Linked DNA regions of Saccharomyces cerevisiae S288C. The protein of the gene in region 2 purifies or fractionates together with the protein of the main gene of each other region. This does not show direct contact. Each region holds a gene or a part of one and is shown on either strand. Other genes may lie near its edges. The genes, in order: QCR10, PET9, DLD1 and RIP1.

Evidence for each region.
Region 1: the proteins of PET9 (region 2) and QCR10 purify together in Saccharomyces cerevisiae (affinity purification with western blotting; 3 studies listed by BioGRID, with this or other methods). This does not show direct contact.
Region 3: the proteins of PET9 (region 2) and DLD1 purify together in Saccharomyces cerevisiae (affinity purification with mass spectrometry; 3 studies listed by BioGRID, with this or other methods). This does not show direct contact.
Region 4: the proteins of PET9 (region 2) and RIP1 purify together in Saccharomyces cerevisiae (affinity purification with western blotting; 3 studies listed by BioGRID, with this or other methods). This does not show direct contact.

What each region holds. Positions count from the first base shown.
Region 1 is NC_001140.6:105,849-109,010, forward strand, and holds QCR10 (ubiquinol--cytochrome-c reductase subunit 10), read left to right. Parts: upstream 1-1,977; coding exon 1,978-1,983; intron 1,984-2,046; coding exon 2,047-2,274; downstream 2,275-3,162. Other genes in the region: oxysterol-binding protein related protein OSH7, read left to right, coding at 207-1,520; LEU5 (coenzyme A transporter), read left to right, coding at 2,964-3,162.
Region 2 is NC_001134.8:162,475-165,967, forward strand, and holds PET9 (ADP/ATP carrier protein PET9), read right to left. Parts: upstream 1,524-3,493; coding exon 567-1,523; downstream 1-566. Other genes in the region: SHE1 (She1p), read left to right, coding at 1-241; YBL029C-A (uncharacterized protein), read right to left, coding at 2,014-2,298.
Region 3 is NC_001136.10:144,875-149,280, reverse strand, and holds DLD1 (D-lactate dehydrogenase), read left to right. Parts: upstream 1-1,691; coding exon 1,692-3,455; downstream 3,456-4,406. Other genes in the region: GLT1 (glutamate synthase (NADH)), read left to right, coding at 1-78; PAR32 (Par32p), read right to left, coding at 203-1,090; AIR2 (TRAMP complex RNA-binding subunit), read left to right, coding at 3,763-4,406. UniProt on the Saccharomyces cerevisiae protein: Catalyzes the stereospecific oxidation of D-lactate to pyruvate.
Region 4 is NC_001137.3:105,586-108,818, forward strand, and holds RIP1 (ubiquinol--cytochrome-c reductase catalytic subunit RIP1), read left to right. Parts: upstream 1-1,674; coding exon 1,675-2,322; downstream 2,323-3,233. Other genes in the region: YEL025C (uncharacterized protein), read right to left, coding at 1-562; YEL023C (uncharacterized protein), read right to left, coding at 2,919-3,233. UniProt on the Saccharomyces cerevisiae protein: Component of the ubiquinol-cytochrome c oxidoreductase, a multisubunit transmembrane complex that is part of the mitochondrial electron transport chain which drives oxidative phosphorylation.

The DNA.
Region 1 (3,162 bases), on a different chromosome or scaffold from region 2:
AAATATGTATCAGTATATTATAGGAATGTTAATTCGCTCGTGCGTACTAATTTTTCCGAGGTCACTCGCAAATCCAGAATTCTAAAGGATGAAAGTATATTTTCTGAAATCGTCAACAAAGAAGGGATGTGATATATTCAAAATGGAAAGATTCCTCCTTCTTTCATTTAGAAATAGGAAACTAACCAGTAAATTAGAAACAAAGAATGGCTCTCAATAAACTAAAGAATATACCTTCTTTAACAAACAGTTCTCATAGCTCAATTAACGGCATTGCATCCAATGCTGCAAATTCCAAACCAAGCGGAGCAGACACGGATGATATCGATGAGAATGATGAATCTGGGCAAAGTATTCTATTAAATATTATTTCCCAGCTGAAGCCAGGTTGTGATTTATCTAGAATCACACTTCCGACATTTATTCTGGAAAAAAAATCGATGTTGGAGAGAATCACTAATCAATTACAATTCCCAGATGTTCTTTTAGAAGCACACTCCAATAAAGACGGGCTGCAAAGGTTCGTTAAAGTGGTAGCATGGTACCTAGCAGGTTGGCACATTGGGCCCAGGGCTGTGAAGAAGCCCCTAAATCCCATTCTTGGAGAACACTTTACAGCTTATTGGGATTTGCCTAACAAGCAACAAGCCTTTTACATTGCAGAACAAACGAGTCACCATCCTCCTGAATCTGCGTATTTTTACATGATTCCAGAATCGAATATTAGAGTTGATGGAGTTGTTGTGCCAAAATCGAAATTTTTAGGAAACTCAAGTGCTGCAATGATGGAGGGGTTAACTGTATTGCAATTCCTTGATATCAAGGATGCAAATGGTAAACCAGAGAAATATACTCTATCGCAACCAAATGTTTACGCAAGGGGAATTCTGTTTGGCAAGATGAGGATTGAATTGGGAGATCACATGGTCATTATGGGTCCTAAGTATCAAGTGGATATTGAGTTCAAAACAAAGGGCTTTATTTCTGGTACCTATGATGCAATTGAAGGTACAATTAAGGATTACGATGGTAAGGAATACTACCAAATTAGTGGTAAGTGGAATGATATTATGTATATCAAAGATTTGAGGGAAAAAAGCTCTAAAAAGACTGTTCTCTTCGATACTCATCAGCATTTTCCTCTAGCTCCTAAAGTCCGCCCATTGGAGGAACAGGGAGAATACGAATCGAGAAGGCTTTGGAAGAAGGTTACGGATGCGCTGGCTGTACGTGACCATGAAGTAGCTACAGAAGAAAAGTTTCAGATAGAAAACCGCCAAAGAGAGCTGGCCAAAAAGAGGGCCGAAGACGGCGTTGAATTTCATTCAAAACTATTTAGAAGGGCAGAGCCAGGTGAGGATTTAGATTATTATATTTACAAGCACATCCCTGAAGGGACCGACAAGCATGAAGAACAGATCAGGAGCATTTTGGAAACTGCCCCGATTTTACCAGGACAGACATTCACTGAAAAATTTTCTATTCCGGCTTATAAAAAGCATGGAATCCAAAAGAATTAGGCTTCTCATTCTATTTTAATTATACTAGTACGATTTCTCACTCTGTAATTTAATATCAGTGTAATATGCACCTAGTTATGGGTAGTTTTTGCTAACGTTACGAGCCGCGAAACTGTCCTCAATCTTCACCACTACCTCTAATGACTGAAGAATGCTATGCGATATAACGCTGTCGCACTTTGAATATATACTTATATTTACATAGTTTTCAAGTGCGTATTACTATTGCAAAGTAGTATTTTGTCACGTGATTTTGATCCAATTAAAACTAAATATGGTTCAACCCGTTGTTTCCGCATCAAAAAACCATACCATTTATCAAGGGGACGGGATATATCACATAACAGTTTGAATGCATAATTTGTTATAGATATCTTCTGGAATAATCTTCACAGCAAAAGCGCAAGTCGAATAATATATCGATAAATACAATCCATAAGACTTAAAACTAACCTCAATGGCGGTAAGTATCCTATCATATTATGTGAGCTAGAACCGAATTAGTATACTAACATTTATAATACAGTACACTTCTCATCTGTCTTCAAAAACTGGTCTACATTTCGGTAGACTTTCTTTAAGAAGTTTAACAGCTTATGCTCCGAATTTAATGTTATGGGGTGGTGCTAGCATGCTTGGGCTATTTGTATTCACAGAAGGATGGCCTAAGTTTCAAGATACGCTATACAAAAAGATTCCGTTGTTAGGACCTACATTGGAAGATCATACTCCACCAGAAGATAAACCTAATTGAAGCCAAAACATCCAACCGGCTGAGTGATTTTATTTATTTGTTTTACGTTCTTTTCTATCATTTTGGAAGAGGAATTAATGCAAAACACATTTGTATTTTTTTTTATTTTTGCATATTCTCGATTATCTATACATATTTTTAAACTGGATCATAAAAGGTATAAAAAGTAATTGATCCATACAACATTTTTAAATATTTACCCCTCTATTTTCAGAATATTTACTAAAACATCAGTTATCAAAGAGTAGGGAAAAGTTAACTACAGGTTTGTTTTTCCTCTTTTTATGTATCTTTTGAGCTTTGTAATTGGGCAGCACATCTCTATGTTTTCAGGGAAACCTATTTCATTCGCCATTTTGATGATTTAGGCATACGCCAATGCTAACGCCGTTTCTTGTAATTTCTATTTTTTCAAATGGAGTACTTTACCTTCCTCCCGCAGCTGGAACTTTCAACCCGCCGGAAGAAAAGACCAAATAATATTATAATTAATATTTAAAACCCTTGAAAGATCATCTCTTAAAATAACCTCAAATAGTGTAAATCCAAGCACTTGAAAACTTTGCCGTTTTAGAACTCGTTAAATCCTTTAAGAAGGACATAACAGCCAGAGTAACAAAATAGTTTGCTCGTGAAAGCACCAGTGAAATTTCTCGAGGTAACTGCTAAAATAAACACAGTTCTTAAGTATGACGCGAGATAGCCCAGATTCTAACGACAGCTATAAGCATATAAACAAGAATACTACACAAAAAACCTCGTTTGATAGAAATTCATTCGATTATATTGTACGATCGGGATTAGCTGGAGGTATATCAGGTTCATGTGCGAAAACACTAATCGCACCCTTAGATAGAATAAAAATTTTATTTCAAACATCAAATCCGC
Region 2 (3,493 bases):
GCAAGGAACAAATTCGCAATTGAAGAATTCAGTTTCCGTTTTTGATAGACTTTACAAGCAAACAACGTTCTCTAGGTCGACGTCTATGAACAACTTATCGTCAGGAACCTCTGCAAAATCCAAGGAACACACAAATGTAAAGACTCGGTTGGTTAAAAGTAAGACAAGTGGTTCATTGTCCAGTAACCTTAAGCAAAGTACTGCCACCGGCACAAAGAGTGATAGACCTATTTGGCGGTGATTAAGTAATAAAAAAATTGCATTTTATAAGAAACATCATGTGATGACATTTAAAAAGTGGGAAAGAATACTACTAATATAAAACTATTTACTGGATATTTAGAATTTTTTTTTTTTCTTCTTTATACGTAAAAGTTGTTCAAAAAATTTCATCGTTTTCTTTTTTTATGAATCTTTGATTCTTGTTGAAAAGAATTTCTAAAAAAATAGGAGGATAATAATATTATCAAAACAAATCGTGTCACTCATTAAACACCAAAAATCCAAAGAAGAAAAAAAGGAAAATGTGAGAAAGAATTTAGATTAAGAATCAAGCCAGATTAGACTTATTTGAACTTCTTACCAAACAAGATCATTTGCAGTTGGTCGTACATTGAGATAACACCAGCACCTGCGACACCTCTTAAGATGTTAGCACCACAACCCTTGAATAGAGAACCAACACCTTCAGCAGCAACAATCTTCCTCAAACAGTCAAAGGCACCGTCGTACTTAACAGCTTGACCGGAGGTCATCATCATTCTTCTTCTAACGGTATCCAATGGGTAAGAACATGTAGAAGCACCAGTAGTAACAACCCAACCCAACAAGAATGAAGCCAAGAATGAACCTTCCAAAGAACCAGTCAACAATAGAGGCTTCAAAGAATCGTACATACCGAAGTATAGACCTCTGTAGACAACAATACCAACGACAGAAGGTAAGAAACCTCTGTAAAGACCAGCAACACCATCAGATTTTAAGGTCTTCTTGTAGACATCGATCAAACCGTTGAATTGACGAGCACCACCCTTTTTAGAGGACTTGGAGTCAGCAGCCAATCTAGTTCTTGCATAATCCAAAGAGTAAACAAATAGTAATGACAAGGCACCAGCAGCACCACCAGATGCCAAGTTACCGGCAAACCATTTGGCGTAACCTTCTTCCTTCTTGAAACCAAACATGGCCTTGATCTTGTCCTTGAAGGCGAAATTCAAAGCTTGAGTGGGGAAATAACGGATAACGTTAGCAGTGTTACCTCTCCAGAATGAGATAACACCTTCCTGTGTAGCGGTTCTCTTGAAACAGTCTAAGATACCTGCGTATTTTCTGTCCAAAGTACCTTGTTTTAACATTTCATCTTGGTTTTGGATCAAAAGTTTAACTCTTTCGATGGGAGATGCAGCAGTTTTGGCGACAGCGGCACTGACACCACCCATTAAGAAATCAATCAAAAAGTTAGATTCCTTCTTTGGAGCTGGGGCTGGAGGTAATGGGGTTTTGACTTGGGCGTTGGAAGACATGGCTATTTGCTTATATGTATGTTAATGTATGATTCTGAAGTATAAAAGAGCACACAAAAAAGAACAACGACAAATATAAATAATATAGAGGGGCTCCTTTGACTTGTAGATGTATTGCAATGTTCCGTATAACTAACAGTGAATATATACTTTTTTGAGTGGGTTGTCGTGAAAAATTAATATTAAAAACTCAAATGGTATTTATATTGTGCGACGACGTGGGCCCGATCGACGGAGACATGTCCCCGATAATCGCACCTCACCCTCTGAGAGTGGGGCCTTCTCATTGGCCCGCGCTCTACACCAATCAGCATAGCGCATTTACCGCCTTTCGCTTGTTCTCCATTGGAAACAGTGCTCGTGCATCGTGATGTTATTTGTTACGTATGGAAAAATCGTGTCTATACTTCTGTATAATATATGTATGGTTATAGTGAACACATATATATAAATACATATATAAGAGGAAGAAAAGGAAATTATTTCGTTATCAGTTGGGCTGCTTTTGTCGTAAGTTTTGTTGTTCTTGAATGACTTTATTAAGCTGTTCGTCATTCTTAAAATCTTGTCGCCAATTGCATATGGGGCAGTGCAACTGTTTTCCCCAGAAGACCGGAACCAACGGTATAAACCAAATAGTGAAAAATTCCTTTCTTTTTATGGGGCCGACACTATAATTGTGACAATTCGGGCAATACAGGTTTTGATGTCCGGGAACGGTATCGTATGAAGAGTCGAAACTCTTCATACCACATACAATAGGTATGAATGACATGGTAATTTTTTCTTTTTGAGGTTGTGTATTAAGTTGCTTATCTGATTTCACTTTACACCAATCTTCCTTGCTGACATTTATTCCCAACTTGTTCTTCAGCCGCTTGTTTTATAACGTACATTATTGTAAAAACGGAGTAGAAAGGGAAAAAGGGAAAGGGATGGACGTGGCTAATGCGCATCTTCGTTTGTGTGTATATCCTTTGATCTTCACTACATAATTTGTTACCCGACAATGCTTTTTTTTTTTTCTCAATTTTCATCTCTTTTCTTTTTCCTCATTTCTTATGAAAATCAGTGTGACTAAAATGAGACTTCGTATTTTTTGTAGAGGCACCATACGCCGGCTCCGCCGTCACCACATTCTCCCCTGCCGGTAAAGACCGGCGCACGCGGAAAAGGCGTACATAGCGTCGGGCGGTAACGGAGTCATTCCATCGCTGATAATTACCCCTTGCAGCAAACCCAGAGCCCTATTACGAATCTAGCCCATACACCGCGTTAGAGCACTCGCCGTTTTGCTCCGGGTCGTGCCGTCGTACATGCATACGCGTCCTGCAGGCATACCATAAGCCCACATACAATCACCTGTAGAAAGAAACAAAGCTTGTGTATGTAATCAAAGCAGAAATCTGATGGGTTCGAACGACTTCGTTATAGAAATATTATCTTTGGGTCTCGTCCTGCGTTATTCCTCCTGTCTCCTGCCGCTTTGATAACCTTTTCATTCCTCCCCTTAACTTGTTATTTCGTGTTACGATATTGGGTAACTTAGTAGCGTAAATGGTAAAATGTAGGGACTCAATCTCATAGGTGGTTATGTTTTTCGTTCTCATTTTTCAAATCTGTGACTTCACAGACAAAACGCGTAGTGATTTCTTTATCTGAATGAGCCTTCGAAAAAAAAAACAACGATTTCTTATGCAGTTAGTCGGCCAGTTGGTTATTGACTATCTGTGCGATTCCCCTTCCTGCATAAAAATAAACACAATCTTAATACGCCATACGTTGACTCCATTTTTTGCTCGTTTCATTATATTATCTTCCCATGCCGCTCCTGCGTGGGATTCCCTTTATTATAACTTTTAAGGTTTCTACCCACATATATGCAATTTTTATCATGTTTTTCTCTTTTTTTTTTTTTTTTTTTTTTTTCTCTCTTTGTTGTGTTTTCGAGAAAAAGTTCAATTGTTTAA
Region 3 (4,406 bases), on a different chromosome or scaffold from region 2:
ACTACGTATCTACCAAGTAATGGTGGTATCGTTCAACGTGATTACAAACTATTGAAAGAATTAGCTAGTCAAGTCTAAAAAGCTTGAGTTATTATTTATTTTATGATCGTATATTATTTATTTATTTATTTATTTATTTATTTATTTATTTATTTATTTATTTATTTTATTTAGTTTATTAATTTTGCTGATGAATGTTATTTCAATTAAACATAGTTTTCAAAGAACTGAAAAACCCTGATTTCTTCTTCTTCTTCTTCTTCTTCTCTTTACCATTGTCATCTTTCAAATTAAACTTATCTTCATCATCATCGTTTAAGTTATGGTTGATAGTGTTCCTGCTTGACTTTGGAGAAATTATGTTTCCAGCGCCACCTCTTCCAATAGCAAATTTTTCCGGTGCGCTTTTGCCCTTGAGCTTATTTTTAGGCTTCTTGGACGTGGACTTGATTGCCGCCAAAGCATTGCCATTGGAAGTCACCACAAACAGGTTGTCCTCGTTTGCATTGATAGTATCCTCATCCTCGATATTGCCGCCTCGTATCTCATCCTCTTCATTTCCACCATTGCTGGCCACCTTTTTTTTGTTGAAGAAAATGTTTCCTGCCCCACCTCTACCAACGACAATTGGGGCGTTGTTGTTCGGAGACGAAGTGGTGGCATGCAAAGACTGATGGCTCCTTGTAGCGCTGATACGAGACCTGGTGTTGGTCACCGGGTTTGACCCACCTTCATCCACCATATCCGAAGTTATAGGGGAAATATAATCGTCGATGTCATTGATCACGTCGTTATAGTTGATATTGTCGTTAGAGTCCAGTTGTTGGGCGGATCTCGTCAGGTGCGGATCATGAAAGATATTACCGGCACCACCTCTACCAATTGCAAAACGAGGAACCTTTTCCTGGTTGCTACCGTTATTATTGTTGTTTGCTACTGTCTTTGAATTGGATTTCAATGGAAGAAGTACGGGAGACGGCTTGGACATAGATTTATGGATGTTGCCAGCTCCGCCTCTGCCAGTGGAGACCTTGTACTCTTGTACACGTGCCTGGTTCTCCATCTCGTTTTGTGGGTTGAACGTAGCCATACTAACTTGGTCTTACGCTACTGCTGCTGCTAACGCTGCTGCTGCTTTTGCTCATATGCTTCCATTGACCGTCATTAGTATCAGCGTCAGCCTTTTTGACATAAGCCACCGCTCTGTCAGGGTAACCCTATGAAACATTTCAAAACGTTATAAAGGAACTCGTCTGGTTACAACAAGGAAATATCACTACAAACAGCTGTCCGTACGGCTCCTCAACTCTCTCAATGTTGTTCGCCTGGTCACACACAGCATAGTTTCGTCATTCGGCGCCGACGGTCGCTGTCTCTTGGAGCCTTCAAGCTCTTGTCAACCCAGGTCCGTTGTGCCGATAAAAGTAACAGCAGACCCCCACGCCCGCATCCCACTCTCTTCTCCGACCACCTCCCTCGAAGTTCTTCCCTGCCAATCCCACGTCGATCCAGCGTAGTTGGCCCCAACTGGTGCAGTAATAACCGCTTAGCGATTTTGCACTCGGAACTACATATGTATATATATATGTGTGTGTGTGTGTGGGCTGGAAAGATTTCTTGAGCTTCCGTGTTATAGTGCAATTTAAATATTGTACATCATTCCGATCCAGCTGGAAACAAAAGCAAGAACAATGTTGTGGAAGCGTACTTGCACAAGGCTAATAAAGCCTATTGCACAACCTAGAGGAAGGCTGGTGAGAAGATCATGCTACAGATACGCCTCAACAGGCACAGGCAGCACCGACAGCAGCAGCCAGTGGTTAAAATACTCTGTCATCGCCTCTTCAGCTACTCTATTCGGTTATTTGTTCGCTAAGAACCTCTATTCTAGGGAGACTAAGGAAGATTTGATAGAGAAGCTGGAAATGGTCAAAAAGATCGACCCAGTAAATTCTACGTTAAAGCTGTCCTCATTGGACTCACCAGACTATTTGCACGACCCGGTTAAGATCGATAAGGTTGTTGAGGACCTGAAGCAGGTGCTGGGAAACAAGCCTGAAAACTACTCTGATGCGAAATCCGATTTGGACGCCCATTCAGATACCTACTTCAACACGCATCACCCCTCTCCCGAGCAAAGACCTAGGATTATATTATTCCCTCATACTACCGAAGAAGTTTCCAAAATTTTGAAAATATGTCACGATAACAACATGCCAGTTGTACCCTTCTCGGGCGGAACGTCCTTGGAGGGGCACTTCCTGCCTACAAGAATTGGAGATACCATAACCGTAGACCTGTCCAAGTTTATGAATAACGTCGTAAAATTTGACAAGCTGGACCTGGACATCACCGTGCAGGCCGGTCTACCCTGGGAGGATTTGAATGACTATTTGAGCGACCACGGTTTGATGTTTGGCTGTGACCCTGGTCCAGGTGCACAGATTGGTGGTTGCATTGCTAATTCTTGTTCAGGAACCAACGCCTACCGTTACGGTACCATGAAGGAGAATATTATAAACATGACTATAGTGTTGCCGGACGGGACCATTGTCAAGACGAAGAAAAGACCCAGAAAGTCGAGCGCTGGCTATAACTTAAATGGTTTATTTGTGGGAAGTGAAGGTACCTTAGGTATTGTTACTGAAGCTACTGTCAAGTGTCATGTCAAGCCCAAAGCTGAAACTGTTGCGGTGGTATCCTTTGATACTATCAAGGATGCGGCCGCATGTGCTTCTAATCTGACTCAGAGTGGTATTCATTTGAACGCCATGGAGTTACTGGATGAAAATATGATGAAGTTGATCAACGCATCTGAATCCACGGACAGATGTGATTGGGTAGAGAAACCAACTATGTTTTTCAAGATTGGTGGGAGATCTCCCAACATTGTCAATGCTCTTGTGGATGAAGTTAAGGCTGTCGCCCAGTTAAATCACTGCAACAGTTTTCAGTTTGCTAAAGATGATGACGAAAAATTGGAATTATGGGAAGCTAGAAAGGTCGCGCTATGGTCTGTGCTAGACGCTGATAAGAGCAAAGACAAATCAGCTAAAATTTGGACAACTGATGTAGCTGTTCCTGTGTCGCAGTTCGACAAGGTTATTCACGAAACTAAAAAGGACATGCAAGCTAGTAAGCTGATCAACGCCATTGTTGGTCATGCAGGTGATGGTAACTTCCATGCATTCATCGTCTACAGAACCCCTGAAGAACACGAAACCTGTAGCCAACTTGTTGACAGAATGGTCAAGAGAGCACTGAACGCAGAAGGCACTTGCACGGGTGAACACGGTGTTGGTATTGGTAAAAGAGAGTACTTGCTCGAAGAATTAGGTGAAGCACCCGTCGATTTGATGAGAAAGATTAAGCTAGCTATTGACCCAAAGAGAATCATGAACCCGGACAAAATCTTTAAAACTGATCCAAACGAGCCCGCTAATGATTACAGGTGAGTATCTGATTTTCCTTTTTCACCCTTCACGTAAACCTGAAATATATTTCATGTAATATATATAGTTCATCCTTAAAGAAAACATACCATTTCAAAATGCCCTTTCCCAGTAGCTAATACATGCTTAAAAATGTGATATATATTATTACCATCAAATGTATTCATGATCCGGGTAGTGCCTTTTTTTCCTTCAAACACTAATGGGATGGGAAGAAACATTTCGAAAAAAGTTATGACTATTGGCAGCATCAGAGAGAATTAAACCTTACCTGTACAACGATAGCAGCTTACATCACTTCCTCGCAGTCATGGAAAAAAATACGGCACCATTTGTCGTCGATACGGCACCCACAACTCCTCCAGATAAACTTGTAGCACCTTCTATAGAGGAAGTAAATAGTAATCCCAACGAATTAAGAGCTCTTAGAGGGCAGGGTAGATATTTTGGCGTAAGCGATGATGACAAGGATGCCATTAAAGAGGCAGCACCTAAATGTAATAATTGCTCTCAAAGAGGTCATTTGAAGAAGGATTGTCCCCATATAATATGTTCGTACTGTGGGGCGACGGATGATCATTATTCTCGACATTGTCCGAAGGCTATCCAGTGTTCAAAGTGTGATGAGGTGGGTCATTACAGGTCACAATGTCCACATAAATGGAAAAAAGTTCAGTGCACTCTTTGTAAGAGTAAGAAACACTCAAAAGAAAGATGTCCTAGTATATGGAGAGCATATATTTTAGTAGATGATAATGAAAAGGCTAAGCCCAAGGTCCTTCCCTTTCATACTATATACTGTTATAACTGCGGTGGAAAGGGGCACTTTGGTGATGATTGCAAGGAAAAACGATCATCTAGAGTACCTAACGAGGATGGAAGTGCGTTCACTGGTTCTAATTTGTCAGTTGAGCTAAAACAGGAATATTACCGTCACATGAACAGAAATTCGGA
Region 4 (3,233 bases), on a different chromosome or scaffold from region 2:
TAATAAAATCAAAGGAGATAATTTCTTCGCCATCGGTGGCATAAAATCTTTCGACTATTCCTTCTCTGAAGTCAAAGGAGTAAATTGTCGTACATAACGTATGCAAATCACTATCATATGATATGTTTTTATTGCAAGTGTATAAAACACCCTCAAAGGAAGCATTTAACCAGCTGGAAGTTAATAAAGAAATAGTATCCAGTTTCGGAGCCACATTAGAGTCGTAGATAATTTCAAATTTGTTATTTTCGCATTTGAATCCCTTAATGGAACCGTCGTTAAACATTAGCAGGTGACAGAAGGAAGCTGACATGAACATCGGTACAGTTGCGTAGTTAACAACGAACGGTCCATCTAAAGCGAACTCAACCTTCGCTTTCAATTCGTTGGACGTTCCGGTATACAATCCATAGCTAAAACATAAAAAGTAACTTCCTTCGTGATGAAGACAACTTACCAGCTTCTCAGCCTCATCTTTTGATCTATAAGATGTTATGCATAAAGGTAAAAAGGCCGAATTGCTATCCAATTTTTTGCAGTCCGTTTCATCTTGTCTTGCCATTTTACGTGGCAATGGCTAGTGCAATATGCAATGCGCTAACGCTGACATTATAACACAATATATTTTTCTACCCTCCCTTTCGCTGAGTTGCGACCAGAATGTCTGTTTTTCAGTCATGTATTTCTTTCCGCTTTAGGCGTTCAGGCAAGCGCGTTCAGTTGAAAGCAAATAGAACCTATAACGACGAATACGCTTAAAGGAAGTATACAGGAAATAGAAAAAGAAGCGTACTGCATGTACTAAAAACCAAAAAAAACACCACATCGGCTCTCTGGTTGTATCCATACTTTCCCTAAAATTTTGTAACTCAAGAAAATACCTACATAAAACGATAATCAGTGGATTGCACTGATCAAGTCGAAAAACTCCGTACATGCCCGTCTATCCCTGTCTCATCCATATAAACTGAACTAGGTAGAAAAAAATACCTACCCTTTCTTTAACCGCCTGGTATATTAAATACCATTGTCAATTGAGAAGCTAACAGCCATTGTAAGAGTTATGTCCAGTGTCCGACTAAGACAAGGTAACCATACGTTGATAGCTATGAATACCCCAGAGGAAGATTATTCTTTCTCATAAATCCTTTTTATTGGTTTCAAAAATCCACCAATAAGTTCATATAGCTTGGGCGGCTATTCATGCGTAATATAATGTGCATGAAGTACGACCCATCGACTCTTAGAGCAAATGCTTCCTAAATTGAAATAACTAGCCGCCTTTAATTCGAGCCTTCTTGTCATCTTGTGTATTTCATCCTTTCAACTTCTCCTGTTCCACCTTTCACTCTAAGCTTCCCTATCATTTGGCCTCTTTCAGGTTCGTCCATAGCGCATCTTTTTCCTTTTAGACACTCCATAACGGACCAATCAGCGTTTTGCGCCATTTATCGGTCTTGGGTCACGTGCGGCGACGCGGAGGCTCCCTTATAAGGACTGGAAAAAGACCTGCAAGAACTATAGTTGGTTCTTGAATATCAAGTAATATATTACTTCTCTGTCGTAACTTTTTGTTGCTTTCAAGTTCAACGTCTTTTAAAAACCAAGAAATTATTGAACATAAATAATATCACTCTAACACTTATTAGGAAACCGAAAGGAGCAATAACAAACATGTTAGGAATAAGATCATCTGTCAAGACCTGCTTCAAGCCAATGTCTTTAACTTCCAAAAGACTGATTTCTCAATCTTTGCTGGCTAGCAAATCCACGTACAGGACCCCAAATTTTGATGACGTTTTAAAGGAAAATAACGATGCTGATAAAGGCCGTTCTTATGCTTACTTTATGGTCGGTGCTATGGGTCTTTTGTCATCTGCAGGTGCCAAATCAACCGTAGAAACCTTTATTTCATCTATGACCGCTACTGCCGATGTTTTGGCTATGGCTAAAGTTGAAGTTAATTTAGCGGCTATCCCATTGGGTAAAAACGTGGTTGTCAAATGGCAAGGTAAGCCTGTGTTCATTAGACACAGAACTCCTCATGAAATTCAGGAAGCCAACAGTGTGGATATGTCCGCTTTGAAGGACCCACAGACCGATGCTGACAGAGTCAAAGACCCTCAATGGTTAATTATGCTGGGTATTTGTACTCACTTAGGTTGTGTTCCAATTGGTGAAGCCGGTGATTTTGGTGGTTGGTTCTGTCCTTGCCATGGTTCACATTATGATATTTCCGGTAGAATCAGAAAGGGACCTGCCCCCTTAAACTTAGAAATTCCTGCTTATGAATTCGATGGTGATAAGGTCATTGTTGGTTAGGTTTGTTTTTCGTCCTCGAAAACTACATCTTTATTGTCTATTTGTTTCACCCTTATTTTGATTTTTCATTTACTATCCATTATGTTATGAACGGGAACTATACAACTAACCTAAGAATTTTGAAATCACAACAAAAATAATCAACATCACAGTCTCGAAGGGATTACGCTCAAAAAGGAACGAAAATCACTATACTGTATTCCCTGTTGATTTTCCTAAGAATATATTCTTATACAATATGGAGAAAACAAAAGGATAAGAAAAGAAAGGGGAAATAAAGAAGATTTGGACCTATTTATTACTACTTTTTTGTCTCACCATCTTCTTTTTCTATTCATAATATTTGATATTCCTTTATTTATCTGCATGTATTTATAATTAACGAAACTATTTATCTTCCCTCGTCCTGCCTTATCCTTCTTTTCTCCAAATGTTTTACCTAAGATTGGCCTGTATTTGAATATTGATGTCCAGAAGCAGAAGATTTCACATGTTGTATAAAGTATACAAGATTGTAAAAATGATTGAAGTATTTTTATATATGTATATTACCTATAAAATTTTTTATATTACGTACCGAAGGGGTTTTTTTAATGCTAAAGCGATTCATCTTGCTGTAGGTATATTTTTAAATCATCTGGAATATCTGTCCAGGAATTACTATCCCAGTCCATGAATTTCTTTTTTAATTGGGAGTATTTACTGTCAAATAATCTTGAATTGTATGTCGTTGCAAAATAACTTGCTTTTTGACCCATGTGGAGTTCCTGCCCTTCCTCATTATCAAAAAAGCCCCCATTGATTTCACTCCCGTTGCTATTATCTTGCTTATCATATTTATTTGAAACTTTATTACTTTTTAAATCAATACCTTCCAAATCTTGGAACAATTGCCTTACATATTCCGGCAT